Linked DNA regions of Oryzias latipes. The protein of the gene in region 3 interacts with the protein of the main gene of each other region in a pairwise test. Links are inferred from orthologs where the notes say so. Each region holds a gene or a part of one and is shown on either strand. Other genes may lie near its edges.

What was found.
Region 1: the proteins of E3 ubiquitin-protein ligase XIAP (region 3) and ppih interact in binary tests that used the Homo sapiens proteins (3 or more experiments, as listed by UniProt). The two-hybrid records come from large-scale screens. The link is inferred for Oryzias latipes from reciprocal best matches to the Homo sapiens genes XIAP and PPIH.
Region 2: the proteins of E3 ubiquitin-protein ligase XIAP (region 3) and ube2w interact in a two-hybrid assay, tested with the Homo sapiens proteins (2 studies listed by BioGRID and IntAct). The link is inferred for Oryzias latipes from reciprocal best matches to the Homo sapiens genes XIAP and UBE2W.

The regions. Positions count from the first base shown.
Region 1 is NC_019865.2:7,774,219-7,785,504, reverse strand, and holds the start of ppih (peptidyl-prolyl cis-trans isomerase H), read right to left. Parts: upstream 7,992-11,286; 5' UTR 7,883-7,991; coding exon 7,817-7,882; intron 4,795-7,816; exon of another isoform or gene 4,474-4,794; coding exon of another isoform or gene 3,337-4,473; exon of another isoform or gene 3,304-3,336; intron 1,829-3,303; exon of another isoform or gene 1,526-1,828; intron 1-1,525. Other genes in the region: uncharacterized protein LOC105354339, read left to right, coding at 3,337-4,473. UniProt on the Homo sapiens protein: PPIase that catalyzes the cis-trans isomerization of proline imidic peptide bonds in oligopeptides and may therefore assist protein folding. Participates in pre-mRNA splicing.
Region 2 is NC_019878.2:16,089,723-16,100,901, forward strand, and holds the end of ube2w (ubiquitin-conjugating enzyme E2 W), read left to right. Parts: intron 1-223; coding exon 224-315; intron 316-3,969; coding exon 3,970-4,072; intron 4,073-5,618; coding exon 5,619-5,774; intron 5,775-5,860; coding exon 5,861-5,936; intron 5,937-6,020; coding exon 6,021-6,034; 3' UTR 6,035-8,242; downstream 8,243-11,179. Other genes in the region: stau2 (double-stranded RNA-binding protein Staufen homolog 2), read left to right, coding at 9,387-9,470, 10,934-11,141. UniProt on the Homo sapiens protein: Accepts ubiquitin from the E1 complex and catalyzes its covalent attachment to other proteins.
Region 3 is NC_019868.2:22,023,408-22,034,324, reverse strand, and holds E3 ubiquitin-protein ligase XIAP, read right to left. Parts: upstream 10,224-10,917; 5' UTR 10,073-10,223; intron 8,487-10,072; 5' UTR 8,454-8,486; coding exon 8,211-8,453; intron 8,113-8,210; coding exon 7,542-8,112; intron 7,432-7,541; coding exon 7,332-7,431; intron 7,018-7,331; coding exon 6,939-7,017; intron 6,691-6,938; coding exon 6,651-6,690; intron 5,594-6,650; coding exon 5,400-5,593; 3' UTR 4,576-5,399; downstream 1-4,575. Other genes in the region: cohesin subunit SA-2, read right to left, coding at 487-583, 683-826, 928-1,009, 1,098-1,141.

The DNA.
Region 1 (11,286 bases), on a different chromosome or scaffold from region 3:
GGGCTGTAAGCTAGCAGAAGAGGTGTAAAGAGAGCTCTCAGCAACTAAAAGGGGAAGGGGGTCTGGGGTCGCTCAGAATTTCTAATGAACAATTGCTTGCTGCTCTGCAGAAACTCCTAACATCCCAGAAAACAAAGGTTTTTTGATTTAGGCTAAAAGTGAATCATAAAAGATCACAGGGAAAGCTCAAAAGATGATCAGAGTGAGTCTAATTAAAAACAGATTTAGAAGCTTTTCACCTCACATAAGTTTCTTTTATGAATTGTTTGTGTGTAAGCTTTATTTCATGCATGCAAAGGAGGAAAATGCAAAAGTGTGTAAACTCAAACTGAAATGCCGGTACAATTAGAACAGTTTTTCTGCTTATATTCAACCCTTCAGATAAATGACAGGACAACCAGCAGCCACTGCATCTTCAGTGCGTCTCTAGTCCTTGAAATGTACTGACAGTACCCCGGCAAAAGGATAGTACCCCGGCAAAGTGAAAGTACCCCAGCAAAGTGATAGTACCCCGGCAAAGTGATAGTACCCCGGCAAAGTGATAGTACCCCGGCAAAGTGATAGTACCCCGGCAACGATATGAAACAGAAAAGATCACACACTGCTCTTCATTTGCAGAAAGTTTTAATTGTTTGTCAAAAATATGGGGAAGTGAGAAAAAGGAAGATAGTTTAATAACTGCTAAAATTTCTTTTACCCTGCTTTTTGAGGTTCCTGTAAAATCCTTTTTTATTTTATTTTATTATTTTTATTTTGTTTTTTATCTTGTCAGGATCAGGATCTCTTTTTCCAGGGTGATCTGGCCAAGAGGTCAGCAGCACACGTCATTAAAACAAACCAGACAACAGAAAGGCAAATAAAATTCAATAAAAAAAAATATATATATGTGTTTAAAAACAAGACAGTCTATAAAACGGAAACTTAATAGTGTAACAGTTAGACATAATAAGAGTAATAAAATAAAAGTACAAACACTGTTCGAAATATGAAAAACGTATTTGTTTTTTTTCTAATCGATTTATGAACGTGTTTTTAATTGAAACTCTTTTATATATTACCGTTTTGGTTCCCTTTAAAAATAGGAAAGTTAGGTTGAGAAAATGTACAAATGGTTTAAATCGGTTTCAAAATGTTATTATTGGTTGCAACAACATAGTCTCCTTACCAAGCGTTTAATCATACTTGAGACTTTAATTTCCACACCACACCTCCTAACCATCCTGCAGCTACAAAAAACTTAACATTGTTCCTGCTGAGAGCAAACAGACGCAGAGCAAACTGATGAAATTAAAACTCTCAGGTAATGCCCTATTTCTGAGAAGCAACATAAAGCTGACATTTAAGCAGTAGTAGATTCGTGGAATTCTCTCGCAGCTGCTTTTGTTGGGAAACAAATAAACAAAACCACCCAAAGAGTCTGGTTTCACTCGGTATGTGTTGCATTTCCCTGCTTCAGTTCATGTAAATGATTGCGAGAAGAGGCCCTCACCTGCTAGGCCTATGAGAGCAAACAGGTTTTCTTTGAAACAAGGAGGGTGTTGCATAGCGAGTATGATATCACTGAGAAAAGGTGGAGCCTTAAAAAGCCGTCTAGGGAGGGGCGGCAGGACTGCATCGCAGTCAAACCTCAGCCGCTGAAAGCATGCACAACCTCTCCCCAAAGCAGAAAGTTTACTGAACCTCTGAAAATGTGCACAGGAGAAAGCAGGTACAGTCATTTCCTTATTTCGTCAGTTTCTGATAATATTCGATCGGGGAACTTAAATGTGCAGCTGAATGAATTGATGCTGATGGAAGTGAATGTCAACAGAGTAAAAAGAATCCTAAAGTAAGTATGAACACTGCTGCTGCCCATGTTCAGCTTTTTAGCTAAGCGATTCATAAAATTTCCAGTTTGATTTTCAACAACAACGACCAAAAATGATAAAGGGTAACGTTAAACAAGTAAAACAGGTAGATATTCTGCTCATTGTTAACCCCTGAGGGCAGAAAACCTCCCCAGAGTCGTCAGATAATGTGGACCATGTATGATGAAACAGAGAAGAGTGGCTGATTCTAGAAATTGTGGTGAAGCAATACAGAGACAAAAGCAGCTTAACTGTTTGTAAAATACTAAAAAGAGTAAAAACGCAATCTAGTGCTTACATTTCTGTAAAGCAGGAGCGGACACTCATATCTTTGCACACAGATAAATGAGGACAACTTAAGAACTAGGAGATCCGTTTGGAAAGGTCACTAATTGCAACACAAAACAATTTTCTGAATTAATCTTTTATCAAAACTGAAAACCAGCTTTGACAGACTTTGTTACAAAATGAAGAATTAAGTTTGGATCCATATTACATGTATTGTGCACATCTTTAATACATTTTTGTATGTTTAATATATGTTTTTATGTTAAAAGGTACTTTGTTAGTAAGAGAATGAACTATTCAAACTAAAATGTATACGTAATAGGTACTGGCACTAAATTAGTTTATTGACAACAGCTTCCTAAACTAAATATTCTAAGCAGCAACAACTTTAAGTAAAAAGAAAAATGTTTGTGTTGAACATGTGTCCTGGTTATTTTTTTAACATAGATTGCCAGTATTAAAGACCCATTCCAATAAAAAAACATGTTTTTGGTGTTTTTAACTTGTACTCGTGGCATTTTTCTGATAATGGAGGACACATATAAAGAAAATTAAGCTAAAAAATTACATTTCTGAGTATATCTTTATTCAAATTGTAAATCAGGAGCAAATGCAAATAAAAAAGCAGTCTGGAAAACAGTGTATTTATGAGAACATACACTCGGTGGGCCACAAGGTCCAGGCTCTCAGCAACAGGGAGGGGAGGGGAGGGGGTTGCTCCACGCTGACTCTGAAGTAAATTTTAAAACAAACTACTGCCGCTCTGCAGAAACTGTCTTTTTTAGGCTAAAAATAGCATAGTTCTAATTGCTCAGGATAGATGACTCCAGTAATCAAAGGTGATTGTACTGGAACTTTAAAAACAATGATTCTGAGAGGGTGAAGTGCGCTTCTAACTTTTTCTAAGATCAAAATGGAGTTCAACAATTAAATAACCAACAAGTTGATGTTTTTTATTACGCTAAACTGCATAAGTTCTGTGTGTTAAGAGATGCCTGTTTAAAAACCTCCACAAAACTTTCATATCACACATTGAAAAATGATATTTAGTCACGAAGAATTGTACTTTTTGCCTGTTTTTCTCCGTCTCTTGTGAGCTGTAAACTTTACTCCACTATTTTTACTAACCTGTCTACTACGGTAATTCATTGTTTTGCATCTTTTCCAGGACTATCTTGAGCACCTTGAAACCGAACTCTGCATGACACAAAGGGCACCCGAATATTCATCGGCATCTGAGGCAAACCCCAAAATGATGAAAATGCTGGCGATCCTGGGCCAATGGGACATCTCTGGCTGTCACACGGATAACATGAGCAGTTATTGTTTACTTTTTCTCTTCAAATTGGGATTGGACTTGGTTGTCTTCTTTTTATGCAGCCCCAAGAAGTATACCTACTTCCTAAGCATATGCAGCCTGTCCATTGCACTGGGTGACTTGGTTATTACATTTTTAATGACGACCATATGGTTTCTTGGAACTGAGAGGTCTTTCGTGTCCCCCTGCTTCATCTTGGCCAAAGCATCTGTGATATATAGTGCACTGCCGCTGCCTATGATGTGCCTGGGTTTACTCTTCTACTGCTTGGAGAATACTCGTCCGAGCAGCTCCGCCGCATTCCTCAAATCCTTCAGAAATGTGTGCTTAACTTTACTGGTGTGGAGCGTAGCTATTGTTTTCTCAATTATCTTTGTCAATGCTGAACCAAGAGAAATGGAATATGAAACTGGGAGACGCGCATTGGTGTGTCAAGTAGAAGAGTCAACGCTGGTGGCCAGCTTTACATCATTACTTTTCATTGGAACATCATTTACCCTGCTGCCGTTTTGCTCAGAAATTTTCCACTGGATGAAAGAGGCTGACCAACTACTAGAGGCAAGGCAGCAAACAACAACAAACAAACAGCAACGTACAAACAAGAGCGACCTGTTTTCCACTTCTGCAGGAACACAAGCAACTGATGGGAGGAACAATGGAGAGAATTACCAGAAGGAAACGATCTGGCCACGCCCACCTCTGTGGACCAGCCTAACACTAGGCTTCAGTACATTTTGGATGCCTTACCTGGTAGTGTCTCTAATCTGTCAGCTCTGCGGTTTCCCAGTACCTGCCTACATTTCTGTTAACCTCCTGTGGTTGGAATGCACCAACAGTTTGATGACAGGCGTAGTGTTCTGGGTAAGGAGCAAAACAACAGGGCCATACGACAATCTACCAGAAAATGTCTGCCTTTGGCACATTTACTGGCACCTGAGTAAAGGCACTCAACAGGTGATAATGCCTCTTCCTGTTTTCAACCCGTCAAAAGACAAAGAACAAACCTTATTTCTTGTTTAAAGAAATACAGAATAACTGTTTGTCATTACAACGGGTTCCCCTGAAAACACACAACGATATCTACACACTTACGTGGATCATTTACTTCTGCGGTGTAGGAAGTTAGCTTGAAGGGCCAAACTACCAAGCTTGCACAGCAAAAATACTTAAACTCATGTAAAGAAAGGGGATCACAATCAACTGTACCTGTTGATTTATGTAAAAAAGTACGGGAAATGCTGCCATTGTTACCTGTTTACAACTTTTCACTTTTTTTATACTTTGGTTTTTAAACAAATAATTGCTTTTATCCTGTAGACAATAAAATATATTCAAAAGTCATGTGAGTTTCTTTTTCGATTTTTATGTATTTAATATTAAAAAGGCAGTTCATGCCATGTCAGGTATGTGCTTTATAGCTAACGAGAATCAAAGTGGGTTTTTCCATCCATCTATTTTCTTGACCCACTGTATCCTTTTAAGGGTGACGGGATAAAGTATGTTACGGTTTGATAAAAAAGAATGGAATTTCCACCGGTAACCTCTGATAAATATGTTTAGCATTTACTCTGGCTCAGTGTTTAGCTTTATGCCATTTGGATTACAGTCAAGCATCAGCTAAATCAGGGGTCAGCAGCCTGCGGCTCTCTGTGGTTTTTTAAAATAACGATCATGTCTAAGATTGCCGTGTCACACCTTTCACACCGTCGGGATGTGCGAGCGGGCAGAAGAAAGACAGCAGCGTGAAGACGCGGAGGGGGCGTGTCTGCGACAGACCAGAGTCTCTTATAGGATGGAAAGTTCTTCATGTTGAATGAGGTTGAATGAGAAGTGAATAAAAGCCTCATCATGCAGAACCTCTCCGGGTCGTCTGTCGACCAGCTGTTGTATTTTTGTCACCAGGTCTGAACCAGGAACGGGTCGGAACCAGGCGAGCTGCTCGTCCCTGTAGCGGTTACCCTGTGCTAACGACTACGGTCAGCAAGCAGTCAGCAAGGTTCATAAAAATAATATAAAAAAAAAAAACAAAAAAAACTAACGGGCTGAGTATTAGGTTTCTGATTAAAGTTTGGATTACACACCTGCGTCACCGCCACGACTCCCAACAATGTTCTGGGACAACAATGGAGAATTTTGAGAAAATTGAAGTTCCTCATGATGAATGAATTATTAATATGTAATGAGGAATTAGCAAACAACAAAGTCTCAAATGTGGCAAGACATTCCAGTATAAACATGCAGCTTTTGTCTAAAAACATCCAGATCCAGATGAGAAAATAAGTTGTTTGTTGACAAAAATCTATTGGAGAAGCAGATTAACTGCTAGTTAATTACAACATATTTGCTAGTTTTGTGGCCTCTCGGGGAAATGGTTCTCATCGGAACCTATTAAATAACAGAGGATGAAAAAAAAAAGAACGCAGCGCCCCCTGCTGGTTCATCACCGCGGTGATCAAAAATCCCACACCGTCACAGCTCAATTTAGACACATATTAAAGAAGCAGCCACAAAAACACATCTACTGAAACTATCATCATTCTCTGGAGCAAGGACGCGTTGAAGGGGAAAATAAAAACATAAGGCAGGAGACACCAAATTGATGAAGCAAGGCACAAAAACACAAGTAAAAAAGGTCAGTCCAACCTGTCCATAATGATTTCTGCGGAGGCAGAATGTCTTGGGGGAGGCTGTTTTTGCCGATAAAATCAACAACAACTGCAAATGAGGCCTCATTGTTTGCTATGCTGCTTTCATTTGGGACAGTTAAAAGAAAATACCTTTGGGACCTGAGAGTTCTTGGAAGTCTGTAAGATCAACGTGCCTTATAAAAAGGAAGCACGTAAGTTTTTCAGAGTTTTTAAATGTCTTAAAAAAAAGAACATGTTTGTGGACGTAAAGGATACAGAAATGTATAAAAGAAATTAATCAAGTTATGAGTGTAACAGCCATATCAGTTGAGAATCACAGATACAAACAAGATCATGTTAAAATAGAGGTATAAAATTGATCAGGAATAATCGGTTTATCTCTGTCAATTTCTCTTCTTTTTGTGCTTTACTCTATCGGAACGTCCAGTCACAAGCTTATTTCTACCAAGTCAGGTTAATTACAGTAAGCTGAAGGTCATCAATGTATCTATGAAGCGTGTTTTTGGACTGTGGGAGGAAGGGATGCACGGGGAGAACATGCAAACTCCACACAGAGAGTTCCCAGCTAGGTCTTCTCGCCGCGAGAGCGCTAACCACTGTGCCATCGTGCAGCCCTTATGTTATATGCCAAATGAATAATAAATATCTAGATTGTTTTCCATTTAGTCATTTGTCATCCTTTTAGATTAAAAGAAATTGGACTGTACCGGAAAGTTAGTTGAATATTTTATGTATCAATTCATAGACCATGTATCGAGATGCGCATCAATTCATTTGAGACGGAAAGATATACAACCCCACTCCAGAGCAGTAAATTAAATACAAGGTACCTATCTACGGCGGGCATGGTGCAGCGTTAGGGCGGTCGACCCATGATTGTAATATTGCAGGTTTGATTCCCGCCTTGCACACCCATGAGTCAAAGTGTCCTTGGGCAAGACATTGAACCCCACCTGGCCTCTGGTGGGAGGTTGGCGCCAGTGTTCGGCAGCGGAGCCGCCATCGGTGTGTGAATGTGTGTGTGACTGGGTCTGCGACTGTAAAGTGCTTTGGGCCTTGAAGAAGGTAGCTAAGCGCTATATAAGTATACGCCATTTGCCATATTTAAAAGACAGATTGATAGATAGCAAGCAAGAAAGGGCATCGTTAGTATTATATTAAACTTTGGAAATGTGTGTTGTACTCCCTGATTACTTGATTCACCTGAATTAAGTTAAAAAAACAAAAACAAAAAAAACACAATGGATCTAGGGGAAAAAAAGCTTTGCGATATCAAAGTACAGACGGAAAGACTCTCACAGACTAAGTTAAGTAGAGAATTAAACAAGCTAGAAAATAAGCAAAAGTAAAACCAAACATGTTGTGTAGTCTTTGTTGGATCTAATGGAATGCTGTATAAACATTACTTTAAGCTTTTAAAAATATAAAAAAAATAAAACGTCGTTTGTTAAAAGAGTGTCTAAACCGGACTTTAATTTGTTAATACGACGGTGAAATTCAGACAGAGACACATGATGATTCACCACACAAAAACTACTTTTATTTATAAGGATGCATCTAATAAACAGACGCAAACCGTATCACGCGCAGTTTACATGATATTATTCTTTCTCTGTAAAGAATAACTATATATTTGAGTCGATTTTCAAGTTACCCTTAAGCCTTAGCTAACAAATTTTAGCCATTTATTCAACTTTTCTTTTAAGCTCACTTACCTGACCGCCGATGGTGATGTCGAAGAAAACGATTGGATTGTTTGGGTTTGTAGGTTGAACAGACATAGTGATATTTTATACATACAACTTATTAACTTTAAATAATAGCAATGTTGAATTCACACGCCACTCATTTGAAAACCACGCACATGCGCAGTAAGAGTCTACGGTGGCTCGCCGGAGTCAGCGAAATACTTGCGCTTTTTTCCTTCAAACTTTATTGAATGAATACAAAAAGAAGGAAAGAAAGAATGAAAATCAGTGCTATGCGCTTTTTACCATGGACTGTAAAAACAATGGACACTATGAGGACAGTTCTTCTTTGTTACTTAATAATATCCAAAACCTCAGAACTATTGATGAAGAGGAAATTAGTTATTGTGGGAGCCTTCTCACGCTTGAGGAAGTAATTTGATTTTATTTGATTTATTTTTATTTCAAGCATTAACTGTAGTCAATACTTTTTTTTTAAATCACACAGATTGACAAACTAATTACAGAAATGATGAAAGACATAGATTAAAACAAAGACTCGCTTTTGTCACATTTGCTTAAATAAATATAGTATTCATTAATGTCAAATAGAGCTTCTTGATTTATTGCTTGAAAATGAGTGGGAAGAACAAAAGCATTCATAACCCCACCCTTTAAACTTAAACTAAAAGTAATGTGAATTATTTGCAATTAAGGACTGCTCAGTAGATGTTATCTGCAGTATAATGTTAAAATTAATAGGGCCAAAATTTTTCTTAAGAACCCCACTGCTATCTGGAACATTATACCATTTACAGATTTTTTTCTCTAGTTTTGGAGGCTTTAATTTTATTTTGAATTGTAACAATAATGTTGTGAAACTCCCAGTAAAACTCTCATCTTTCCATTAGCAGGTCCTCTTAGTGTGGAACCTAATTTTCAAGTATCCTTTTTCACCACACAAATATTTCATCTGGATTAACAGATTTTTTTCATTTAAAAAAAGATCACTCCACCTGGAGACCTGGACACAGAATAGGACCCTGCTGGTGGCTCGGCTATTCAATAAGGAGGGGCAGCTGCTAAACTACAATGTGTCCTTATCGCTATATAATTTTCCTGTCAGTCTACAAGAGTCCATAAACCTTGTGCTATCCTAGGCACTTTAACATTGGGAGTTGGGTCATCTAGACCCACTAGACAGTGCGCTGAACCTTTTTTCTTCAATGATTTGTGAACCTCACTGGTGTCCATGGATTACATGAAATCTTTCCACCTTTATCCATCTTTGTCATGGTAGGGAGAACACGTCAATGCAAGGGTGGGGTCATCTAAGATAGCACAAGGGTTAATGGTGCAGAATGCCCTACCATCAGGAACATTAATGCTGTTTAAAAACACTGATAAATAAGTGACATAGTATATTTTAAATTATTGTAATCAATTTGTTCCAGGTAACAACTGGAAAGTGGTGTGGAGGATCCCTCATAAACATTTAACAATAAATAAGGTGAAAGAAGTGTCTTTTTAAATTCTCCATAAAATTTACCCTGCAAAACAATACTTGACAAAATTTGAAAAAGATATTAATACTGATTGTTTCTGTGGAGATCATTCAGAAACTGTGACACATCTTTTTGGGTATTTGCCCACCCAGACGTTTTGAAAGGAGTTCAGTAGATTTATCATTCATATCTTTAAAGATTTCTCTCTGAGATGGGAAAATGCGTTACCCTGTGTTTTCACTATTTCAAAAAGAGCATAAAATTGTTTTATTGTCTATGTACTATGCATTCATTGTACGTCATACACTGCATTGGTTCTTTCTTGTGTTGTATACTTGCATTCTGTTTCATAAAGTTAAATAAAATAAAATAAAATAAGAACAATGGACAGTTCAACTTCTCCCTTCTCATGTTCCCAAATAGGAAGTACCATAGTTCCCTGATACGGGTGCAGTTAAGTCGCTCTGAGTCATCGTATCTCTGGCAACTACTGTCGCCATTGCCATAGATAATCTATCACACTAATCAGTACATGTTAAGATATAATACGACAATTGACCTCCATTGTACTCTTTGTAAACAACACCCAGAAACAATTAGTCACCTACTTTGGAACTGTAATATTACAAAAAAGTTTTGGAAAGAATGTATATATTTTATAAGTCACAAATTTGACTCACAATTTCAGATGAAATTTTCCCCCTATAATAATTAAAGAATTAGAATCTTATTTGTGTACCATTTCTAATAGTATAAACAAAAAAGCCATACGTACATATGACAACTGTCTACCTTTGAAGATCTTCAATGTGTAGTAATGTGTTTTGCAATATTGCTTCTTTAATATATATTCTCATTGTTATGGCCATTGTTCTTGTTCTTCATACTTGTGTCAAAACAATAACGTTTTTTTAAAAGCCATTGCCGTAGATACAATGACCTACTGAAGGGTGAGGGATTTTGCTTCATCTGCAAGAGTAAGGCATTTTCGATGGGTGACGTCGAACCTCGATTTGTCCATTGCTTTGTTTGTTTTTTTCCAGCCTGTGGTTTTCCTGTTTACGATTAACAGCTTCAAGATGAATATAGTATGGAGGACCGGAAGAGTCTTTTAAAAAGAGAATGAGGATCTCAGGAATAGACACATGGAAAAGAAAGGTCTGTGTTAAATAAAAAGTAATTATTTTAAATTAAAATTAAGCCAATACAGGCTTTTTTTTGTCATAGGGAAAGTTTTTCATAACCCTTCTTTTTCTTCTAAAAAATTTGTTTCTTTTCTCACCTTATGTTTTTTTGCCTTACCTACTGAACTCATTTTAGCATTTGTCTTTATTACATTTGACTGATTTCTGCTTAAGTCACCTATAGTATTTCTGCAAGAGATTTCAGATGTTGATATTAAACTCCCTGTTCCTTAGTTTTGATTTAATAATTTTGGTTGTAAAAACCTTGTTTGTTAACCCCCATCCGTCCCGCTTCCACACACACCCTTACTTTCTAAGAAGCCTAATTTTGGTAGCCTGTGTATCCTGTTTCTCTACTTCATCATTTAACGTGTGAGATCATGCCTGCAGGAATTTGATCTCATCTTCTGACTGAAGCTTTAACCAATATATCAAGTCTTACCAACAGGACTTACTATTTTAATATGACTTTGCTTTGTTTAATTCAATTCAATTCAATTCAATTTTATTTGTAAAGCCCAAAATCACAACAACAGTCGTCTCGATGGGCTTTATTGTTGATTTATGTAGTATTTATCAACAACACACATTCAGATAAATTAAAAGCATACAAGTTAAACAATAAAGCAAAAATGATTCTTTATACATAAACACGATTAGAACTTCAAATTTTTACTCAAGAAATTTGGACTTCGTGGAAAACATCAATGATCTGGTGGGTTTATGACTTTGTTTTATACTCAGAAACGATGCAAAATACTTGTGAAAATTGTACTGAAGATCATATTTCAACAGCATTTGCATTGGC
Region 2 (11,179 bases), on a different chromosome or scaffold from region 3:
ATGACTAAATATTTTGTTAAAATGCCAGTATAGTTTTTTAATATATTTTTATGAATCCACTCTTTGATTTATGCAAAGTAAGCTTGTTTTTGGTAGTTTAAATAAAGTTTAAATCAATGTGTAAAAACAATTTCTACCATACTAACATTGTGCTAGTATAGTGCTAGTATTACTAGATATTTGACTGTTGTGCAAACATTTGTACACTTTCTTCCCTCAACAGAAAAGGCTACAGAAGGAATTGTTAGCCCTGCAAAATGATCCACCCCCAGGAATGACCCTCAATGAGAAAAGTGTACAAAACACCATCACACAGTAAGTATAACTTCACATGGTTAAATGATTGCTTAAGAAACTTGAGTAGTTTCTGAAATATTCCATTCCCATTAGAAGACTGTTGACTGCTAACAAAGCGGAGGTCGGTGGAAAAGGCTAAACCAGAGCAGGGAGAGGGGGAATGGGGTCATCCTTGTAACTGGCAGCTCTGGCCCTTCAGTAGAGTCTCTAAGGTTGAGTGTCGCAATTCATCCTTATAAAATATTTAAGGATTGGCATTCATACTGTGCCTGGATAATGATTAACAGAGGTGGCACAGCTACTGCAGGATGGGGGATTTCCCTTGAGGATCTGGGAATGTTGTTAAAGAATGTTTTTCAACTTTTTTCTTTTTTTTTGGACATTTTTATTGAACTATTTTAAGATGCTAAATCAAATTTGGAAATAAGTTTCTCCCCTCATTCTGCTTCGTCATGTTCAGGCATTAATAGTGCTATCACAAGAAAGCAGTTGTTTTTTTTTTTTTACAGTTTTTCCATAATCGTACCAGTTTTTACTATGCCATCTTCCTAATAAGATTAGGCCTCTGTATATTCATGTGAATGAATGCTTGGTGTATCCGACAACTGTCCAAACCAGTTCTGCTGCCTTCCTCTGTCCCTACGTCACAGGTTTTTGGTTGACATGGGTGTGCATGTCGTGTTTGTAGCTGAGATTTAAAGGCCTCAAAGAGAAGATTGTAGTGATTCATAACAGCAGGAGGCTCCTTTTTACAACCTTGTATTTCAAACGGTCCAATGACTCAAACTCCATCCATCAGGTTGAAGATAAACAGCTGTTTTTGAGGATGTTGCTGCACAGCTTTTTGACAGTTTGAGCGTTTTTGTTTGTACTACCTATTGGATTCTTTTGTTTTCTAGAAAATGTCTCTTAGTTAAGAGGATGTACGTTTGTGCTTCTAGTTGGAGTCACTTTTCCAATCAGAAATGAGGAAGTGTCATCCGTTTACATCTCCTCCAAGGTTTCTCAAATGTCACGTTTGGAAGGAAATGGGAGATTGGAAATGATTTGATTTTATAATGTTTTGGGTTCAATTCATGTGTTCTTTATTACTACTCTATGCATACCTTCCTCACATTGAAGGCTTTTAAAACAAGGACGTCTTACAAGGACCTGAACTTGACTTTAATTTAATATTGTAAAGCTAAAAATCCAGAAAATTGTGACAAGTTTGATCTATTTTGCGAGCATTAAAATAATGTCAGAGATTGTGATGCTGCATCGTTGCCCCTTTTTACTTTCTTGGGTTCTTTCTGTGACTAAATTCCCACTTTTTGGTCTCTGCTGGGCCCTAGTATTTAGCTTCTTTAACAAAGCAAATTTGCTTTCTGTCTGAAGCTAAAACTTAACATGTAGTGTACATACGGAGTGGTTCTCCACTCTTTCTGGCTCTGCTGTTATCTGAGCAAGATTGCATTTTTGCCACCAAGCTTCGTGGCTCAGCTTTTTAAGGCTGAATAGATTCTGTCCTTTTGTTCAGTGGAGTATCACATTATCAGACAGTGCTCTCACAACCCTGCAGAGGACTGAATGTCGCTGGAATGAGTCAGATTAAAGGCTTTGGTTTTGACACTTCATGCAGAATTGACAGATTCTGGTGGTTGACTCTTAGGATGATGATGAGAAATTACATTAACCCCGTCTCAGGCTAGTGTTCTTAAAATGATGAAGGAAAATGTCAAAATCTAAATAAATTCATTTAATTCATAAAAACAAAAGCAAGTAACTATTTTAAATATCTACAAACTCCACTGTATTTAATAGATGAATTGAATACATGTTGTAAGCGGAAGTATTTTGTAGTAGTTTTAGTTTAAATCAAAACTGTCTTTTCCATGTTTTCCTGCTTAGTGACAGTAAACTATATTATTTTCAGAAAAGATACTTATAAATGCTGAGTGAACATGTTTAGTTGTTTTAAAAATAAAATTGATATGTTTTGGCAAATTACTTAAATAACATGTTATGCAACTTCTAAAAATACATGCTAATAATAAACTATCATTAATAAAGTGAAGTGGTCAGTTAGAAAAAGTTGTTTATATTAAGGGATGTTTTTCTGCTTCTGTTGTTGTATTCAAAGAATAGAGAGAACAGATTACAGTTCATTCAAATGTATTCTGTTGTATAGTAATTTTGGACCTGATAAGGATTTTGATGATTCTTTATTTAAACCATTTTTTTAAATGTTTTTTTGCATTAAAATCTAAACTAAAAGTAACTTCAGGGTTTTTCTCTTTTATTTTTTTCTACTAAAATCTATCAAATGTTTTTATGTTTAAGAGAGAGCTGTAGGATAGTTATCACTTTTGTTGGGAGATGTTTTTTTTTAAATAAATGTTATGACTTGCACAGCACTTATAAAAGAACGAGCAGCCAAAGTGCCGAACACAGAAATTAAATATAAATAAAATCCCTAAACAATAAAAGAAAGAATAATGATAAAACGATGAAAGCCATGAAGCATTACTAGTTAACCGGTTTGTGTGGTCACATATTATTTTGGCCACTTTATCATTGCTGCGTCACTGCCACAATCTTTTCCACCATTGTTCTGGCAGTGTGATGCTGAAGGACAGCAGATACTGCAGAAAGTGACCTGCCGGCACATTTCAGCCGTGATCCTGGCGTCTGCGTCCCATGTTCCATATCTGGGTACACGGGACTGCTTTCACAAAACGAGTGTCAAAGATAAAAGGGGAGTGTGTTGTCCCCGAAATGTTAAATGAAGGTGAAGAAAGCTGCAAACTCCTGGGTTTTTTCCATCACATGGAGATCAGATAGCTTACACGTGATACAAGAAGCAGTTTGTGAGGAAAAGAACTGTGCTTGATGTCTGTATGTTTTTTAATTGTTTACAAATGGAATTTAACCCAGGATAAAGAGCTTCTCTAAAGTATGTGCCGTCTTGCCTCCTTTTTGGTTTGCATGTCATAAAGCAGAACCAGAAGATTATGAAACAACTTGTCATTCTATACTGACCAAATGTTTTTCTTGCAGCAACTAAGACTAAATGTCTGATTTGATTCTTTCTATCATATAAATAAAGTAAATGTTTAACCTCTTTTAAGTCTATCTTCATAAATTCTTTGTTCATTCAAGGAGGGACCACTTGTGTTTAGATGCAGTTCAGAGTGAAATCTTTTCTATAAAAATTCTATAATTTTTTTTAATAGAATTTAAAGAAATGCACTAAAACATTTTTCTGGGCTAATGTCGATTATCTATTCAAGTTGTAAAATGTATATTTTCCTTGTTATTGCCAGATAATTGACTCAAATACCTGTGTGCTCATAACTATCTGTTGCATGAAAGCCAGCTAATTTAATAACCGTTGATTCTACCTTCTAGCCATAAAACAAACCATCTTACAACTTCTAGTGGATCAACATTTTGGCCAGCAGCTGTCGGTGAGCTGCCCATTTTAGAGGCTGCTGTTGTTTATGGAAACCTACTGAACATTCCTCTCCTTTATCTATTGCTTTATTGTTCCCTCAGTGGGGGTAGAAAGCAAGTCTGAAGACATTCTGACCATATTTTTTAATCGCATCACAGATTGGATGTCTCGTTAATGCTGCTTTTATTTTGGTGGGGTTATTGAATCCTGTTTTTTGTCTCTTGCTTGTCTTTTAGGTGGATTGTAGATATGGAAGGAGCGCCTGGGACTCTGTATGAAGGAGAGAAGTTTCAGCTACTTTTCAAATTTAGTGGTCGATATCCTTTTGATTCACCCCAGGTAAGCACGGCCCCACACGACCCTGAATGTGAGACTTTCTAGAGCTCTTTGTCCCGTGCAGCTGGAAAGGTTTAATAATAAATCAGGTTCTTTTTAAGAACTAGCAGCTAGACTGAGTGTCTACGTTTGACGGAACTATTGGAGGCTTTGAAAGATCTCTATTCAGACAAAAAAAGACAATAACATAAGGATAAACTAAGGCAATTGCTCCTTTTCCATGGCTGATAAGAAGTTTTTCCTGTTTTAGACTAAAGGTTCTGCAAATCAATGTGAGAAATGGAGGTAAAAGTTGTTTAGTACCTGTACAGAGCTGCTTTATGGGTGGTGTATTGGTCACACTCTCTTGTTAAAGGAGCGTGCTTTAGAAACAGTGGAGCTTGGATTCAGTCAAATAGTTTCACTCGACTGTTTGTTATGCTAGTCAATTTCTTGACCATCTAAAAATCCAAAATTCCGAACTAAAACCCAACTGAGCTGCTTGGACACAACTCTATTTACTGTAAGGCCAGACTGTCAAAGGTCGGACAGGTCAATACTGTTCGATGGCGTTCTGTGTTTGTGTTCGGTTGCATCAACATAATCAGAGAAAATGTCCCTTACTTTCTGGGATTCTCCCCAACATGCTCATAAATATGTTGCCTTATAAAACTGACCTGATCTATTGATTTTCTGTTTTAGAACCACCTGATGTTAGACTCTAATGAAAGGATTTCTTTGACGTAGTTTACTTCTATAGATGTTCACACTTCTCATTTGCTGCCAAAGCTTAAAGTTAAACACTTCAAAATCTTCACTCACCACCATCCTGAAATTTCTCGACATCTTTCGATTTCTAGACGTATTGGCTAATTTTGTTCATAGATTGCTAGTTTTTGAATAGCTTTTAGGTTTTTGGATTAATCAATCTTTAGTTTTGTGTTATGTTTGCTTATAAATAAAGCTGTTCTTGTTTTTTTAAATCATTTTTTTATTTTACCTGGAAATAATTTGTAATTTTAGATGTTCCTATCTGCCTTGTATTTTGCTCTCTGTGAGTGAAGGATTATACATCTTAACCCCAATCTCAGCTCTTTCTCTGGTGCTATAATCTGGATTATATGGACATTGATTACCTGTTTACAAATCAGTAATAACGTAAGAAGGCTAAAAGTACAGTCTTCCCATATCGAATCAATCGTACAAAACAAAGAAAAGCTCTTATTTTTAGCAGCATAAACCATAATGTAAACAGTGAGTAGAAGCAGCTGGAATGAGGAAACTCTTTGCCATATTTTCACTGCATTATAATCTTTCTGCCTCCTTTACTGACCTTTTATATGAACAGCTGATCTCTTGAACTTAATCCTATAGCCTAATGTTTCTCCAGAAAGTAGTTGTAATAATAATCGAGTTTTTTTAAACTAAAGTAAGAAAAAATAACTTTTCCTTACTTTACTTGTTTGATCGTGAACAGGCCTTCATTCCGTATTAAGTTAGGAAAAACTGCGTTCATCTTTGTTTGTCACTTATAACTTTGAGTACTGTAACCTGTCTTTCCTCTGCGCAGGTGATGTTCACAGGGGAGAATATACCTGTTCATCCGCATGTGTATAGCAACGGTCACATCTGTTTATCTATTCTGACAGAAGATTGGTCACCAGCGCTCTCAGTGCAATCTGTTTGTCTTAGCATTATCAGCATGTTGTCCAGCTGCAAAGAAAAGGTAAGTAGTTGAACGCAGAAGTTCCTGTTCTTCCTGTTCTTCACCTCTTGGACATTTTTATTTATCTATTTTTATTTTTTTGGCAGAGACGGCCACCAGATAACTCTTTTTATGTAAGAACGTGTAACAAAAATCCAAAGAAAACAAAATGGTGGTATCATGGTGAGTACTTTGTCACTACTTTTTTGATTATAAATTTTTTTTTATCAATTTTAAACTGGCTTTCTTGTACTTTTCCCTCCACAGATGATACTTGCTAATGTACAAACTTTCTATTAATGGTAGAAGACGCAGCCCTACTGACCTACATGAAGCACTTTTTAATCCTTCAGTCTTTGAACTCTGACTTGTGACTGGAACATTGGAAACCAAGCGCAGGACTGCCTATCCCCCCCACCCCACCCCACCCCCCACCGTGGACAGTCGGCTGCATGTTTTTAGTTTGCTGTAACATAGAAAGTGGAAGTAAATGAACATTTGGATGCACCCACACAATATGGTTTGTGGCGAGACAGCCACAGTGCAGCGAGCAGGAAAGGAAGAGTTGTGGTGAGCTAATTATAATTCCTGTTTTAAGATTATTGTTACTTTTTTTTCCGTTTGTATTTAGGTGCATTTTAGGGTTTTGTGTCGTGCAATAATAACTGATGGATGCATGCTTGGGCCTACAAAGACAAAAATCCAAATCCAGTCATCATCTTGAAGGAGTCTAACCATCAAAACCCCAAGAAAATGCATCATCCGTTTAGTTTTTTTTCTCCTTTCACTATCATTGTTATGCACTGTGAAATGATTTAGTTTCAAAGAACCTGTGCACATTTATCCCCCCAACTTGCAGATGTACTGTAAGAAATCCTCCACCTATTTATCAGGTTTAAGGCTTTTAGTTTCAAAGTACAAACAGTTTCCACCTTGACACCTGATGGCAGTTCTTCCTGCTGTTGTTGCTACAGATGGAACTAAAGTGATATTAGATCTAAAGTTATTTAATGACCTCACTGTACATCTCCACTCGTGGTTCGGGGTAGTTGTCAGTAGTCCAGCCTTCAAGATGTGCAGCAGCTTATCTTCCATTTAAAGAATGTCTGTAGGGAAACATTGTTGCAGGATTCTTTTTTGTTTTTTAATTTGTACAATACTTTTTTTAAATATAGGCTTTAATTTTTTCTTCCTCTAAACTATTTGATTTTAAGTGTATGTTTTTTTTTGTATTCTTGTTTTGCCCTTAGCCGATACTTTAAATGGGGGATTATAGTAACAATTGAGGGTTCTTGTTTTTTTTTTATTTCTTTCCTAATTGTTACTTAATTGAAATCCTCATTTGATCTCCAGTGCAGCAGTGAATGATAAAATGAGGCTTTGTTGGAGTTGTATAGAGAAGGCATTTGTGATTTTTTTTTCTTTTTTTTTTTTTTTCTTCCCCTCCTGGTCAGAGTTGTGACTCAGGTACTTTTTCAATAAAGAGATCACCTCTAAAAAAAAACAACAAAAAAAAGAGAGAAAACTATCGTATATTTTGAATTAAACTATATTTGCACCAAAAGAGACTGTTATGCTGTAAACTTATAACATGTCTAAAACTCTTGTATGCTTTAGAACTATTGGATGATGTGAAAAGGTTTGGCAGATGGTACATTAACTTCCTAGCTGAGGGATGAGATGAGTGCTTATTTTACTGAAAATTAGTCGACATCGACATCTTTCACTACATTTTTTGCTGCGTACAGTCAGCGATAAACTTGTACTATAGGGGCGCATGCAGTTTTGATATTCTGATTTTGACACTAGACTTTCCAGAAAGTAGATGAGTCGTTGGGGGGGTATTACTACACTTCCAACCAGAGGATTTGGTCAATTCAGGCTGTAATCACTCCATTCCTCAAGCAAATGTTTATCACCATCCAGTCGGAGATACTTGAATTTTCCTTCTATTTTTTTGTATTTATGCCTACTTTTTTCCTCCCGTCGCCTGGTGTTCTTCCTTGATTGAACTAGAGTGAATGTGACTATAATCTTTATTGTACAAGCAGTTAAAACAGCACACATTGTTCTAGAAATTATATAGATAACTTAAAGACTCTTGAATTTTTTTTTCTTTGCTTTTCTGCAGTGGGTGTTGTCCAATGTGTAAATGCAGTCATGAAAGCATTCGTGCAACAAGCAGTAGATCAAAGGACATCTTCATCTGTTGGGAGTGATTATGTTACAAGGGTTTGGATGTGATTTCTTTATTTTTATTTTTAAAACAATGCTACCCCCTTTTTTTTATTTAATTTGTTGTTTTCAATGTGGGTTTGGACTCTTAGCTTGCAGACTCTTATGAGTGAAAACACTAATGAGGGTGAGTTATTTATATTTAAAATGTTATTTTGGGATGTGCAAGCTCCATGTAATAGGTGCCTGTTCATTTTCATAATCAATAAAAGCAAAGATTCACTTTTATTCAACATTTGGTTTGCACCAAAACATGACAGTGTCTTTTGTGTCTTCTGTAATTCTTTTTTTTGTTTTTTCCAAAATTGGGTCAAATCCTTTGACAGTGATTCTTGGAAGATGCATCAAAAATTTTCCCAGAGTACAGAGTGCCTTGTTTTTGTTGTCTGTCAGCTTTCGGCCGCTTTCAACCAAAACTCCCAACAATCAATCAGTCATAATCCCTTTGTACAATAGTGAATATTTACAACAGCCTCATTCACCCCCCCCCCCCCCCCCCTTTAGGTTGTTTTAGAGTTGTTTTAACCTGTGATACTCCAAAAGAACCTTAATAAATGAGATATTTTCTACAACATAAAATGGCTTTACAAATACAAATGTCCTTATGATGTGCTGTTCTTTTTTCCCCAAATTAAAATGTTTCACATTTTAATTTTTTCATTCATAGTTCTTAGGAGAAAAAAACATTCAATGGTAATCGTGAGCACAATGAATCACATCTGTGTAAATTAAAGATTCAGGTTGCTTTGCACTTGTTTTTTATTTATATATATATTTATATATATACATACAAATATTTATCTCGACAGTAACTTGGGGAAATATAACCTGAACAAGTCGCGCCCTCTTGTGGTTGTTTGCAATACTACGCCAAAGTTTAACACTGAATTACAAACACATAAATAACCGAGTAAATAATTATTTCTCTGATACGAGGCATATGATGCTTAAAGTTCTGTAACCTAGTTTTCATTTTTACTGTATTTCTCTTCGTCCCAAATTTGGGAAACTTAAGGCAAATTAATTCCAGTCTGGAACTATAATTTTAAAATGAAATCTAGCATTGCATCATCTGAGTAAATTGCAAAAGAAAGCCAGTGTGCAGACAATGCTAAAAATAAATGAAAAAAATAAAAACACGAGCGCTTTTAAATCTGAAAAGTATTTTTGCAGCCCTGAAGAAGCGAACTGGGACTAAACCATTTTCAACTCTGCGGGGAGGTCCGATTCTTTCAGTATTTACCCCCACTCAAACTCCTTTTACATTTCTATAGCTTTTTATACTTCTAACAATCATCGAATTAGAGCTGTAAAAATAAATGCAATAAAAATAAATACTGAGCTTTTTATCCTATTCAGAAGTATACGTTTTTAACACTTCCATCACTGACAATTAAAATGGTGTGTTCCCCTCTTTCCATCCAGTTCTCTTTAGTGTTTGCCAATGTTGGAGGTGTAACTGGGGTCTGGCCCTGGACAAAGGTAAAAGAAATCCCCCTAAATGCTTGTCCTGTCGTGTTAGGGTGGGGTAATAACCAGTAGTCACACTATGGCCAGCCCGTGTGTGGTTAGCGTAGGCTAAAAACGTTCCAGACTGTCGTGGAAGAAGGGGCAGTACGAAGAAGATGCTAGCAAAGAAGGGTGTTCGGCCGACCAGCCATGATGAGCCTCAACCGGCTAATCAAGCGCAACCGTGGGAGGATGGAGGAAAAATATCCATCAGGGGAAAACACAACAACACTTTCACGATAGCTCGTGAACGGACCCTTCCCGGGAAAGGGATTTTAGAGGCTGACATGCGCAGAAAACAGTGTTTTTATGCTGGTATTTATTGTTAGCTTCCTGCTACGCTGGGATGTAAAGTCGAGGCTGCAGGCAGTTGTGAGGATCTGCAGCTCGTATTTATGTCAACTTTACATTTTTCAGCTTTACTGTGTGCAAAACGTGTTAATCTGATGATGCGTTAGAAATCATGACAAATGATGATGCTGTTGACACTCAAGATGCAGCAGCACTGGGGTGTGTGTTTGTTTATAATAACTATCTAATACTATTTATAACATATATAATGCTTATAATTCACAAGTTCCTTAAAGGAAGCTTACAGATATAAGCATTGAAATGTTGGGAATAGACATACTTTAGCATAGGTTTGTATTTTTGGTATATTACCTTTCAAAAATAAATGCAGATTTCAGTTTAGTGCTCCATATTTTTGCCCAAAAATGATTGTATTTGGTTATAATATTACATTTTTAATTTTTAAAATTTGTACTGCCTTGAAATTGAATAATGAGCATCATGACAAAAGTTGTTGGAGGAGATTCAGCTTTGAAGATTTGTAACTTTCTTTGTAACTTGTGTGAAGATGAATTTTTATCCATCATTTTATTGATGGATTATTTAATATAATTATAGAATTGGAAGACTATTTTGTCCTGATATGTTTAATTAGTGTTGAATTAGTGGATATTGTCAAACAACAACAGCAGTATCTACACAACAAAGTCTTTTTAAAGTCCTGAATGACATTTCTGTATCATCTCAGATGTCTATATAATGTAGGTCTGTGTAGCAACAAAAGTGATTGAGCATCCTTTGCCGTGTTTGGTCTTGACTGCTCTATCTCAGACTTTCTTTTCTGGAGAATGTGGCCGCAGTAACATGAGGAAAGCGCCTTCAAATAAAGGTCCATTGTGTGGTTGTATTAGCTGCGTTCGGATCACAGAGTGAGACACGCTTAGAGCTTCTCCGTTTGGAGTCTGCTTTCCAGACTCGCTGCACAAAATCTCTCAAATGACCGTAAGCAGCTTAAAGTAGTTTGGAATATAAGTAGAGGTTAAGGACATTTTTCTTATGCTACTACATTGATGTACCACTGTGTCCTTTTAGAATCATGACAAACGTTGATGTCTTTGTGATGAAATGTTGATGTTCGGTTTCAGGAATCGAGCATGGCTCAAGTGAAAGTACAGACCACAGCGCCCCTGGCTGGTCCTGGCCTTTCCGCCGGAGTTCCCCCGGCGGCCATGGCCAGCCCAGGACCCCTGGGTCTGCAGCCCTCTGTCAACGGCACAGGCTCGGCTCCAGCACCCGCCTGCCCTGCTCCTGCAGTCGGATATGGGGACGCTCCTGTGTCTGTCACACCACCAGGTAGCTCACAACCCGACAAGCGCTCCTCCTTTTTATTG
Region 3 (10,917 bases):
TAACTGAATCAGATCAATGTGTTCCCTTGCTACATTGCGGTTCACTTTTTGCGGTCTCAAGTGATTTGTTGTCAGTGTCACTTTGCATGCTTTTTTTAACATGCTTGTTGGCTGTTGACCTCGTCAATCAATATCCTCTGTCGCATCTGCTGTGCAGTGTGTTCAGTTTTGCTACATTTACATCAATCTCCCATAGCAAGAGGCTCACTGTTTTCATTCTGTAATACTGAACTTATTTTTCAATGATGGTTTGAACTTGGAGAGTTTAAGCAGGAGAGAAAAGTGTGAAAATGTTCTGTCTGTCGGAGAAAAGTGTATTAAGTTTGTATTCAGGGGTATTACAGCCGAAAAAATCCTTTATGATCTCACTTTGCGGATTTCAAATAGTGCGGGTTATTCTAAGTACATAACCCTGCAATAAACGGGGGATTTATAACAAACGTTTTTTTACAATGACAAAAACAATGTACATGGGGGGGGGGATACCTTTACATCCCGAGCACTGGATAAAGAAATTGATGAGATCTAGCAGTGCTGCATCTCTGTCGTGTTTGTAGGACTCAATCCAGTCATCAACAACAGACTGCATGAAATAAATAAACATGTGCATTAAAATCAATGTTTATGTCCGTAACCAATAGGAAATGACTCCAAAAGGTCATTTGGTCACAGCAGGTCTTACCTGCATTGCACTCCTTCCGAGCTTTACGACCTCAAACAACATCATGTTTTCCATGCCGTTTTCTTGGTGGTGGCCATTTATGCGGCCTGCTGCCTTTCCTCCTTTGCCTTTATCCCCAATTGCTTTCTTGCCCTTCTTCCCCCCCTGTGATAAATATTTGAGAGGGAAAAAAGGATAAAGATCAGGTCATAAACCAATAAATAGAACACAAACACAACTTTCTACATATTTAAAAAAAATACTACCTTTCCCTTAGCTGAAGTTGTACTTCTTCCATCGAAATCCTCAGAAAAGTCAGTATCTGAGGAGAACCTTGTGTCTGTATCCCTAGTAGGTACATATAAACAGTGAAATGAGCATCAACGAGCATTCATCAACCATCAAATCAGAAAAAATAAATAAAACAAATCCTTACTGAGGGTAGGCGAACTCTGTTGGGATTTCTGGTGCTGCTATCATTTCTGTAACATTTTCTGAATACCGTCAACTTGGAACTGACTTAAGATCCTCAGCAAACACAAGACGGGAAAGGCCGCATGTGACCTTAAAATAAAAGACAGAAATCAGTGAGATCTTTAAGCATTTTTAACCAAGTTGCCCTGACTTGAACAAACATGTTTTGATTTCTACGGGGGAAAAAATGAATGAACCCGTTTCACTGTTCAAGCTTGTGTGAGGTAAAATAAAATTTTCACATGGTAACAGGGGGTGGGCACAGCCTCCGCTGTCACGCTTGCCATCTTCCCATTGGCTCCCCGAGTGTCATCACTCCTGCTTGTCATGCGAGTTAGACTGGAGTATCATCCTCCATGGCCAAATATGGTCCAACTCAATCCGCCCAACACAAAACCAAACCAATCAAAGTGCAGTATCAACATCAACAAGACACTGCAGGCCAAGGAGTAAGACAAGCTTTTTTCAAAGTAGATAGCAGAAGTAACTTTTCAGAGCTGTATATTTTTTGCGGCCTGATACTCCCACTGGATGCAAATGTCTTGAATTGTAGAAAAAGGCCCACACAAACATATATTCAACCGTCCAGCAATAAGGAATAAAAAGCAAACTGTACCCATGATCCTCCTAAATGTACTAAATTGGCTTTAGTTCACTTTGCCCTGGTATTCTTACATATGGTTAAGCAAAAAGATAAAAAAAAAAACTGTCTAACGTTCCTGATTCTAATGTTTTCCGTCCAAATCATGACCCACGTTTGGAAACATGCGGTTTGAGCTCATCACTATTTTAAAAGTTCAACTTATATATATATTTATTTAAATTTAGGACTATTGAAGTTATCTAATACAGATGAAAAGATGCATGGAATGAATACTTCAAATATTTGTATATTATCTAATCTAAGTTTTTTTTTTTTTTTAACGAGTCCATTTCCTATGAAGTGAGGGAAACACTGCATGTCAAGACGAGAGAATACGATGGGTGTAGACTGAAAAAGTGGCGCCAAATCGTATCGACAAACCCATAAAGTTGCCCATGTGACCTAATTCTAAATACATTTCGGTTCAATTACTCCACAAAATAGATCTGGTTGCTTATAAACGTCTCACGACTCCGCACACTTCGGACTCAATTCCCTCCAACGACGCCGGCACAGCAACGCTCTTTGTCGGTTCCTGTCAAAATTGACACCGGTGCGCTGCTGGTGCTAGCGCCACCAGCTAAGGAACCGAGGATCTCGGAGTATTTTCCTCGACGTCAGCTAACTAAAATCTAACGTAGTGCGCGTGCACGACTCGGTGCAAACAAGAAAAGAGTAGATAAAAGCAAGACGGCATACTTTGACGGCACGAGACTTCAAGATATTGTATATATGCACTCTGTACGCCTTGAAATTTTCCGACTATCACAACAAAACAACGCAAGCTCTACTGTAAGCTAAAATTAGCCAGTGTATAATCACGCTAATCAACTATATATTTAGTAGTCTAGACTATATTTAGCTCGTATTCCACTTGCATACGATGCTAGTCTTAAGGAAAATAAAACGAAATACACACTCTGCAATTTACAAGTTGAGAATAACTCCGATTAGTCAGAAAATGCTAACAGCTAATGCTAACGTTACCTTAAAAAAACATCACGTCCTTGCGTCCTCCATCTTGCCTCGGGAGTTCCACCGCCGTATTGCATAAGCAACAATCACTCTGTTTACAAATATATTAAGTCCTAAAACGCTATTCCAGATTTTAAATTACTTATTTCCGCAGCAAAGTGTTCGCTTAGGGCGGGCGTGCAAAAATGTGGGATTGTTAGCTTACTGGCGTTTAAGTTGCCATATACCGCGAACTAGCAAAGCGACTTGGTTCAGGCAGGCAGCCGCGCTGTGAGCTCTTCTCAGGCTAGCAAAGCTAGCGAGATAGCTAGCAAAATACAAATCAACTAAGTTCCAGATAGCTCTCCGCCATTTTACATCTAACTTACCTTGTGGTAAAATGTAGTCCCGTTGCGATCTTAACTTGTACTACCCTTTTACGGTCTTGTGTCTTAATCCAGTAATAATTTTGTAAAAAGAGTTTAAAAGTCGCGGTTAAAGGCGGTTTCGGACGTTCTCTCACCCCGCTTGCTCCGTAGTTCGGTTTGTTGTTTCGACGACCTGGGAGGAGGAAATCCTGGAGCAGAGCTGCCACCTAGCGGCCACAGCGGATGCGTGAACGACAAGTGGCTTGACCTGACATCTAGTGGTAATTAGGGGTACTGCAATTTTTTGGGAGGGGCGGCTCTTCTCTTCCCTTTTCACTTTAGGACAGCTTTGACTCTAAAACACCTTCCACGGAGTTCCATTTAATACAAAATAAATGTAAAAAGAGATCAGTAAACAAAATTGAAAAAAGTGTTATAAATAGATTTGGGTTGATTTCATCTATGTGCAGCACAGTTTTATCAGCTGGTTGTTAGTTTTGCAGAACTTAGAAACTTACCGCGTTTCTGAGACGTATTTAGATGCTAAATCAAAGTAATTTATAAATAATCTATTGAACTTTAATAATAATTAACTACAAAACAAGAGGATGTGGTTAGTTTTGCTGGTTTCCATGTTCTAGTCTGTTGATAGAAAGATTTCTAAGTTTCACTCCTAGAAATAAGCCCTTCCATTGGGATGCTTACTTTGCAGCACGCTCATTATCCACTGTCATAATAAAAAACTACATCTCCCCCCAATCTTAATTCAACGTGGGTTCAATACCAGCTTTTAATCAAATCGGTCAGATGTTTCAAGTAAATTTAAATTCTTGGAGAATTAACCTGATGGTTGGCTGTACCTGGGGGAAGAAGCCGTTTGCCAGTGGCAGAAACATAATCTGTTTTTATGAATATTACCCAAATATGCCGCCCACCCGACAAAATGTAATGTCTTACAGAACAAAAAAAATACATAAAAGTCAAACTACAAAACAAGACTTAGCTAAAATATAAAAATGCAATCAAATCATTTAAAATAAATATTAAATTACCAAATTGACAGTTTCTAATTATTTTTTATTTAAAAATCCTAAAAAAATTCCATTCCAAATTAAAAAACTTGAACATCCAAGACAAATATTGTTTGAAAATGTGTCTGAAATTGTTTAAAATTGAAATGTGATGTTAAATCAAACAATAAAAAAAATGTAAATTCAGATGAAACCACCCAATTTAGAATTAAAATTAATTCAATATTTTTATATAATCAAAAATGATTGAAATTTAGATTTCTACCTGTTGTTTCTTCCCCAAAATATTCATTAAGATGATTAGAAAATAATTTCATAAGATAAAAAAAAAATTGTCATAGTTAAGGAACTTTTTTAATTAAAAAAACAGTTTTAGGGAAAAATGGAAGGTAAATAAAGACAAAAAAGTTATTTATTCACTGTTAATGAAAGCAATTGAATGAGTGACGTGTGAAACATCTCACCACACTGGAAGAGTCTTTATTAGTAGTGTTTTTAAAATTTTGCCTTTATGCATTAAAATATCTTTGACAAATAAAGAAAATAAATCAAAGTTTAAAAACTAAATATATGCTTGGGAACAGAAAACTAAAATAAGACAATTTCAAAGCTTTAAAGTTTAAATAAATGCATAGATAGAAACAGAAAACAAATGAAAACGTTACATTTTAAACAATAATAAGAAAAAATTATTGCTTCTAACAAAATCACCTGGATAGAATAATCCTTTATCCCCCAAACTACTGAAAAAATATTATTCAGATACATCTCTAATTCTGCAACATCAACTATCTTTACATATATTATAGTGCATGTTTGATGAATATAGCGTTATATTACATAGTCACTAATGGAATTTTCCTTTTTTTAAGTGGAGATTTGTGTAAAAAAAACAATGAATGAATTCCAGATCTTGGAGCACGGGGAATAGTTTTTATTCCGAGTCTGAAGAAAAAGCACTTTTTATGTTTAAAAACAACTTAAACCCTAAAAATCTTCAAGTTGGATGAAGAAATGCAGATATTGATGTTTTGTGAATGTTTCATCACTACAAACAAACAAATTTTCGTGTTTTCTTGCTGTGAAGAAAACGGCTGTTATATGTAAGTTCTTGCAAACCTGGTTTAGACAAACCTTTAGTTGTATTACTCTTTGTTTTTTCCACCTACATGCTCACAAAAAGCCATTTCTTCACAGACACCCACTTAAAAAATACGTCTCCATTGAAAGAATAGCAGCAACCATGTTAGACAAGAGTCTTTGGTTTCCTAAGCGATGAAGGTCCGGATTTTCTGTGCTATAGCTGCACAGCAGATGGGACACTGGTTGAGCTTATTGGAACACGCCTTGCAGCTGGCCAGATGTCCACATGGGATGAAGACGATGCACGCGTTCTCGTCTAGGCAGATTTTACAGCGCTTTTCCTGCCGCAGCTTCTCCAGCTCCTCTAGAGGGTTCTCAACTGAAAAAAGAAAGGGTTAGTTTTCCACGGTCCCAATTGTGACAATCTCTAACTGTAAGAGCCCAAGCAGGCCACAGGGGGGTGCAGCAGGGTCATGGTCTGGGCATCCTACTTTTTTTCTTTTTTTTTTTTAACTCTGCCGTACTGCTTAGACCATGCTTGAAAATTCAATGTTTTCTATTATTTGTCAGCCCAGTTCGTATGTAATTAATGTAAAATTGCAGAAGATAATGTTTTTTGACTTTTAATTTAACCCCAACAAATGACTGAGCTGAGGTCAGGGCTCTGCAACCTGAAGCTCTGGAGCTACATGTGGCTCTTTGACCCCTCCTTTGTGGCTCTCATATTGAAGAATACTAAAATGTTTTTCATTTTAAAAAGTAACATTCTTTAGACCATACGATACATCAATCAAAACAAAATCGTCTAACGTTTGAAACGATTTGACCACAGCAATTCAGCTGGAGGTCAGTAAACACAACCAGAATTCATACTTAAGGCACGCTGAGACTAGAAGAGATTATTATTGAACAAAATTCAACAATTGCAAGTGCGCCATAGGGTCAAAAATCTAGTTTCATTTTAGCTTGTTAGATTTTTACAAATTTCTGGCTGAGAGGTATAAACAACAATAAATTAAACAGTGTATAGTTGTTGTTTTTTAATCACTGCTGACATCCCAATTCCTACAACAACATTTGTTACATTAAGATGATCATATGTGGTACAGAGAGTCTTTTATCTTGAAAGGAAGTCATGTAAACCTCTGTTAAAAGTTCTCACTATTTCAAACAAATTTATCTTTATGACTGTTTTATTTCTGTGAAAAATCCACAACTTGATTTATATTTACAATAATAGTAACAATAACATGAATGCAAATCAGTGTCTTTTTATGGCTCCTACTGGGTTCCGGTAAGTGAAAAATTAACCTGATTGGCTCTACAAGTGCTGAAGGTTGCAGACCCCTGGCTTAGGTTCTCCTTCTCAAAAGGTTCAGCTAACTAATACCATAGTGTACATTTTTAGATTTAGATACATATCCAAGAATATTTACCTTTCTCCTCTTCAAAAAATCCATTTTGATGTTCTGAAGCCTGGAAACAAAAGGGTCACATCATCACTTTTTGTAAATCCTTTTGTCTGAACTCATGAGAAACGTCTAACAGCTTTTGTTTTAAACACACTCCCCCACCAACTCTTTAACAGAGAATAGGCTAGGCATAATACAAAATAAACCTTCTTTGTTTTATTTAAAAAAAAAAAAACAATTTCTACAAAAACTAGGGAAGTGAAGAAGCTTCAGAAACAGATTTCTTAAATGAGGGGAAATAATATGCCTTACCTGTTGTGAGTATTTAGGTTCTTGTAGCTGAATTGTATTAACAAACTCTTGGCCTTTTTCTGATAAAAGAAAGCTGCATCTAAAATGGAATTTAAAAAAAAGGATGTAAGATACATACATAAATACACTTACATCCCTTGTGCTATCCTAGGCACGTTAACGTTGGGAGTTGGGTCATCTAGACCCACTAGACAGTGAGCTGAACCTTTTTTCTTCAATGATTTGTGATCTTCACTGGTGTCTATGGATTACATGAAATCTTTCCACCTTTGTCCACCTTTGTCATGTAGGGAGAACACGTCAATGGCCATCTTGACCCCATAGGATAGCACAAGGGTTATACGAATACATAATCCTTCTTTTATGGGAAAAAGCAAAGCTGGAGGTTTTTACCCAGGATAATATTTGGCATGTTCTTCCCAAGGATTGTCCTCAGGGTCCCAATCTTTCAAACCACCACCACATCTGAAACAGATCACTTCGTCTCCTTCTCCTAGAATAATAATAAAAAAATATTATGAACAAACATTTAGATTTAGAAAAATTAAAATATTACCGGTACATCTCATTTGTAAAGGGGATGTTTGAACAAACATGCTTTACCTTTGCTGTAGAAGCCAGCTTTAGCAAGCAGCTCGTGGTCAATCGGGTGCTGGACGCGTGCAAAAGTGCCGAGTCGCTCGTCAAGATTTTCCAAATTGACAGGTGTGCGATGTTGGTTTCTGCTGCCAGTCTCTTCATTTTCTCCTCCATCTCTTTCCAGAGGCACATTTCCCACGTCATGACCAAGGATGTAGAAGCAGTGGGAAAAATGTTTTTCATGCTCGTTCCAGGGGGTGTCCCCAGGTTTCCAGCCACTTAGCTTGCCTCCACAACTGAAACACTCCACTTTATCCTCCTTTCCTAAGTAGAACAAACCTGCCTGAGCCAAATCTCGAGGTCTGACTGGAGCAGAACGCGGCCACGAAGAGAAAGTTTCCAGGCGGGCTTCTTCGCTTTTCATATTCCGGTTCCGTGGATATGGAGTCTCATCAACAATGGCTCTTGTTCTCAACTGGTAATCTATATATCCTTCAGTTCCATCATGAAGGCCCCCATTGCTGAGGGGCATATGGGGATTTGACTTAAAACGGTTGAAGTGTGTGCAGCGGAGAAACGTGCACGATGGGGAAACCTGCATGGAAGGAAAATGTTGAACTTTATTATTTAAAAAGTTGAAAAAGAATTGCCCAACATTTCTAAACTATTTTTTTTTTCAACATAAACAATTACCTGTATGTGTCTGTCCACTGGTTGATCTTCCTGGGACCAGTTTTCTACCGTTTTCTGGCAACTGAAGCAGCGTACGCGGTCAGAGACTCCAGTGAAGAGGAAGCCAGCTTCAGCCAGTTGCAGCGGTGACACCTTCTTGCTCCAGCTGGAGTTGTAGAAAGATTCCAGACGATTGTTTATCTTAGAGTAATCAATTGTGGAGTCCGATTCCCAATTCCCATCTTGGCTGGGGTCACACATCATTGAAACAAGTAGCTGTGGCGGTAAACACAAAATCTAAAAGAAAAGAAACATGAAAAAGGTTTGAGTTAGAAGTGTAGAACCTTGAATAATAGATCATGGGGGAATCTCTTTTTTTTTACTTAAAGACCTACTCCGATCATCTTTTGAGCCATTTTTAAAGTGTTCCCAGGGGTCTTCTAATTACCACTATGCCATTTTTGTCCAAAAAAGTGCCCAGATTTTTCTGCAGAGCAGCAGTAGATCATTAGAAATTCGCCTCTGAGTTGTTGGCTGGACTGTTGGCATGGAGCAACGCCGCTTCTCTCCATGTTGCCGAGGGCTCTCTGTTGCCATGTTCTCCTGCTAGCTTCAGTCCTCCTCAGTCATTCAGATTTGTCAAAAATATAAAGTATTCTGGAAGTTAACCAGCTTCCCTATCTTTATGTCCACCTTTGACATCACATCGTGCTAATAAACATTGCATCAGCACGCCTGTGTTTCATGCAATTCTTATTCATGACACATACTAAAGGTGTGATGACTTTTATTCAAGCCTAGTCACCTCCCAGAGGAAATTATTTGTCAAAAACAGAAAGTAGAAGTCAAATATCTTTCAGTTGGACATTTTTTGAGAGTGTGTGTAGATAGAATGGTATGGAATGTCCATTCCATTCATAGTCATAATCTGTCCACATAGCTAGGCTCTTTAAAGTTCTTTTAAGCCGGTAACTCAGGAAACCAGATGGATATCAGTTGAAAAAATGAATGTTTTAGTGAAGGCACAAGGGATGGGCACGAGGGCGGCTCCTGTAGTTAACTTATATGCCAAAGGGTGTAGCAGATGTACTGTTCACCATTCTTAAAGAGCTAATCAGATCATTGATTCATCAAAACACAATGTTGGAACACTGTTAATAGGTTTCAGCGATCTGCCACATATGTTTGTTAGATTATCCAGAAATGTACTAGCAGCACAGTCAAAAACAATCACTGTTTTCTACAGGAGGTTGAGACTCTTGTGTGATATTGTTGCCACACATTAGGACAGTCATATGCTGCATTACTCCTTCTGACAAACACGCTGTACGTGGAACTATTTGGTGCACATTTAGCTGTGACATGGGATTTTATCTGCTGGTGGTGGAGGACTGCATGTGATCTTTGCACTGTCACGTTTTTCTGCCTCAGTGATCAAGTGATCAAATCAAAAGCTAACGGCCATATTTACTACAGTAAATATGCTGTCGCAAAGACAGTTTTGCTGTCTTTGCGACAGCAAAACTGAAATTAACATCTCTAACCGCCCAGTGAGCGACAAATGCGTATGCCGTCATTGTTGTGTTTCTACGAACTATCAACTGCATACTTTGCTCTGTTCACAAAGATTCCACCCACATCATTTAAAGGGCTACACATCACGGATTAAAAATTAATATAAAAGAAAAAAGACAACTGCTGGTGTTTTACAGTGGATAAAGGAATCTTACATAAGGAGTCAAATTATTATTTAAAAGTGCGTACCTTTGCTGTAACTATAGTTTGTTTACATTTCATGTAACATTTGACTAGCTAGCTAGTTAGCCTTGTTCGCTAAGCGCGCGATTACTTTACCAGCGGCTCTAAAAACATAAAATACTTGCATTTCTTTGCTCGTGTAGGGAGGTCTTCGGTTCGTGGTTTGAAAAGGTCCTTGATGAGATCGCCCTGTGAAGGAAATCGGCGTAGAAGAATTCCTTTGGCGTGACCTCCCAAAGTCAGGAAGTAAGAACAGCGTAGTCTTTGACAATGCGCATGCGCATCGTCGATTACGCAAAGAAAGTGGGGGTTCAATGAGAAGATTCCAGAGGTTCTGTTTCAGTTTCGTTATGGAAAAAAATATAAAACATTGTCACTTAAACAGAAAAATTTCAACATGCTTAACAGCTCAAGCCCGAAGATGTTATTGCTAAAGAAAGATATGTTTTTGTAACTTATGCAGTATGTGTTGAAACGTAGATTTGAAAAAAAAAAGAGAGAGAAAAAAAACCACGCAGTCCCGAAAAGCGACTTTTAAGCAAATCTCTAGGTTTTTTTTTTCTTCCCAGGGGGGGTTTCCCTTACAAATATGCTGTTTAAAATCAGTAAAATACACTGTCGACAAAAGAAACTAAATGAGTAAAAAACATTTATAAATGTGTCCCTTATGTCTCAAAGCAAATGCGACATTTATATGATTAATTTATTCAAATTTAGCTTTTTTTCTGTTTTTCAACGTTTGGAGCAAGAATACAAAATGCCACATATTTTGAAGTGGGTTTTAGTCTATGCTTTTATTATGAAGGATGCAGTTTTCTTTAAGATCACACTTTAACTTCTGAAAAGTTGGTGGGACAGTGGTTCAAATTTCAGTGTGTTCTGAGTCATTTTAAGTTCAGCCGGCTGTGAGGCTGCCCTGTCAGACACGCAGCATCCAAACTATACAACTTTAGATATATTTACATTTGGT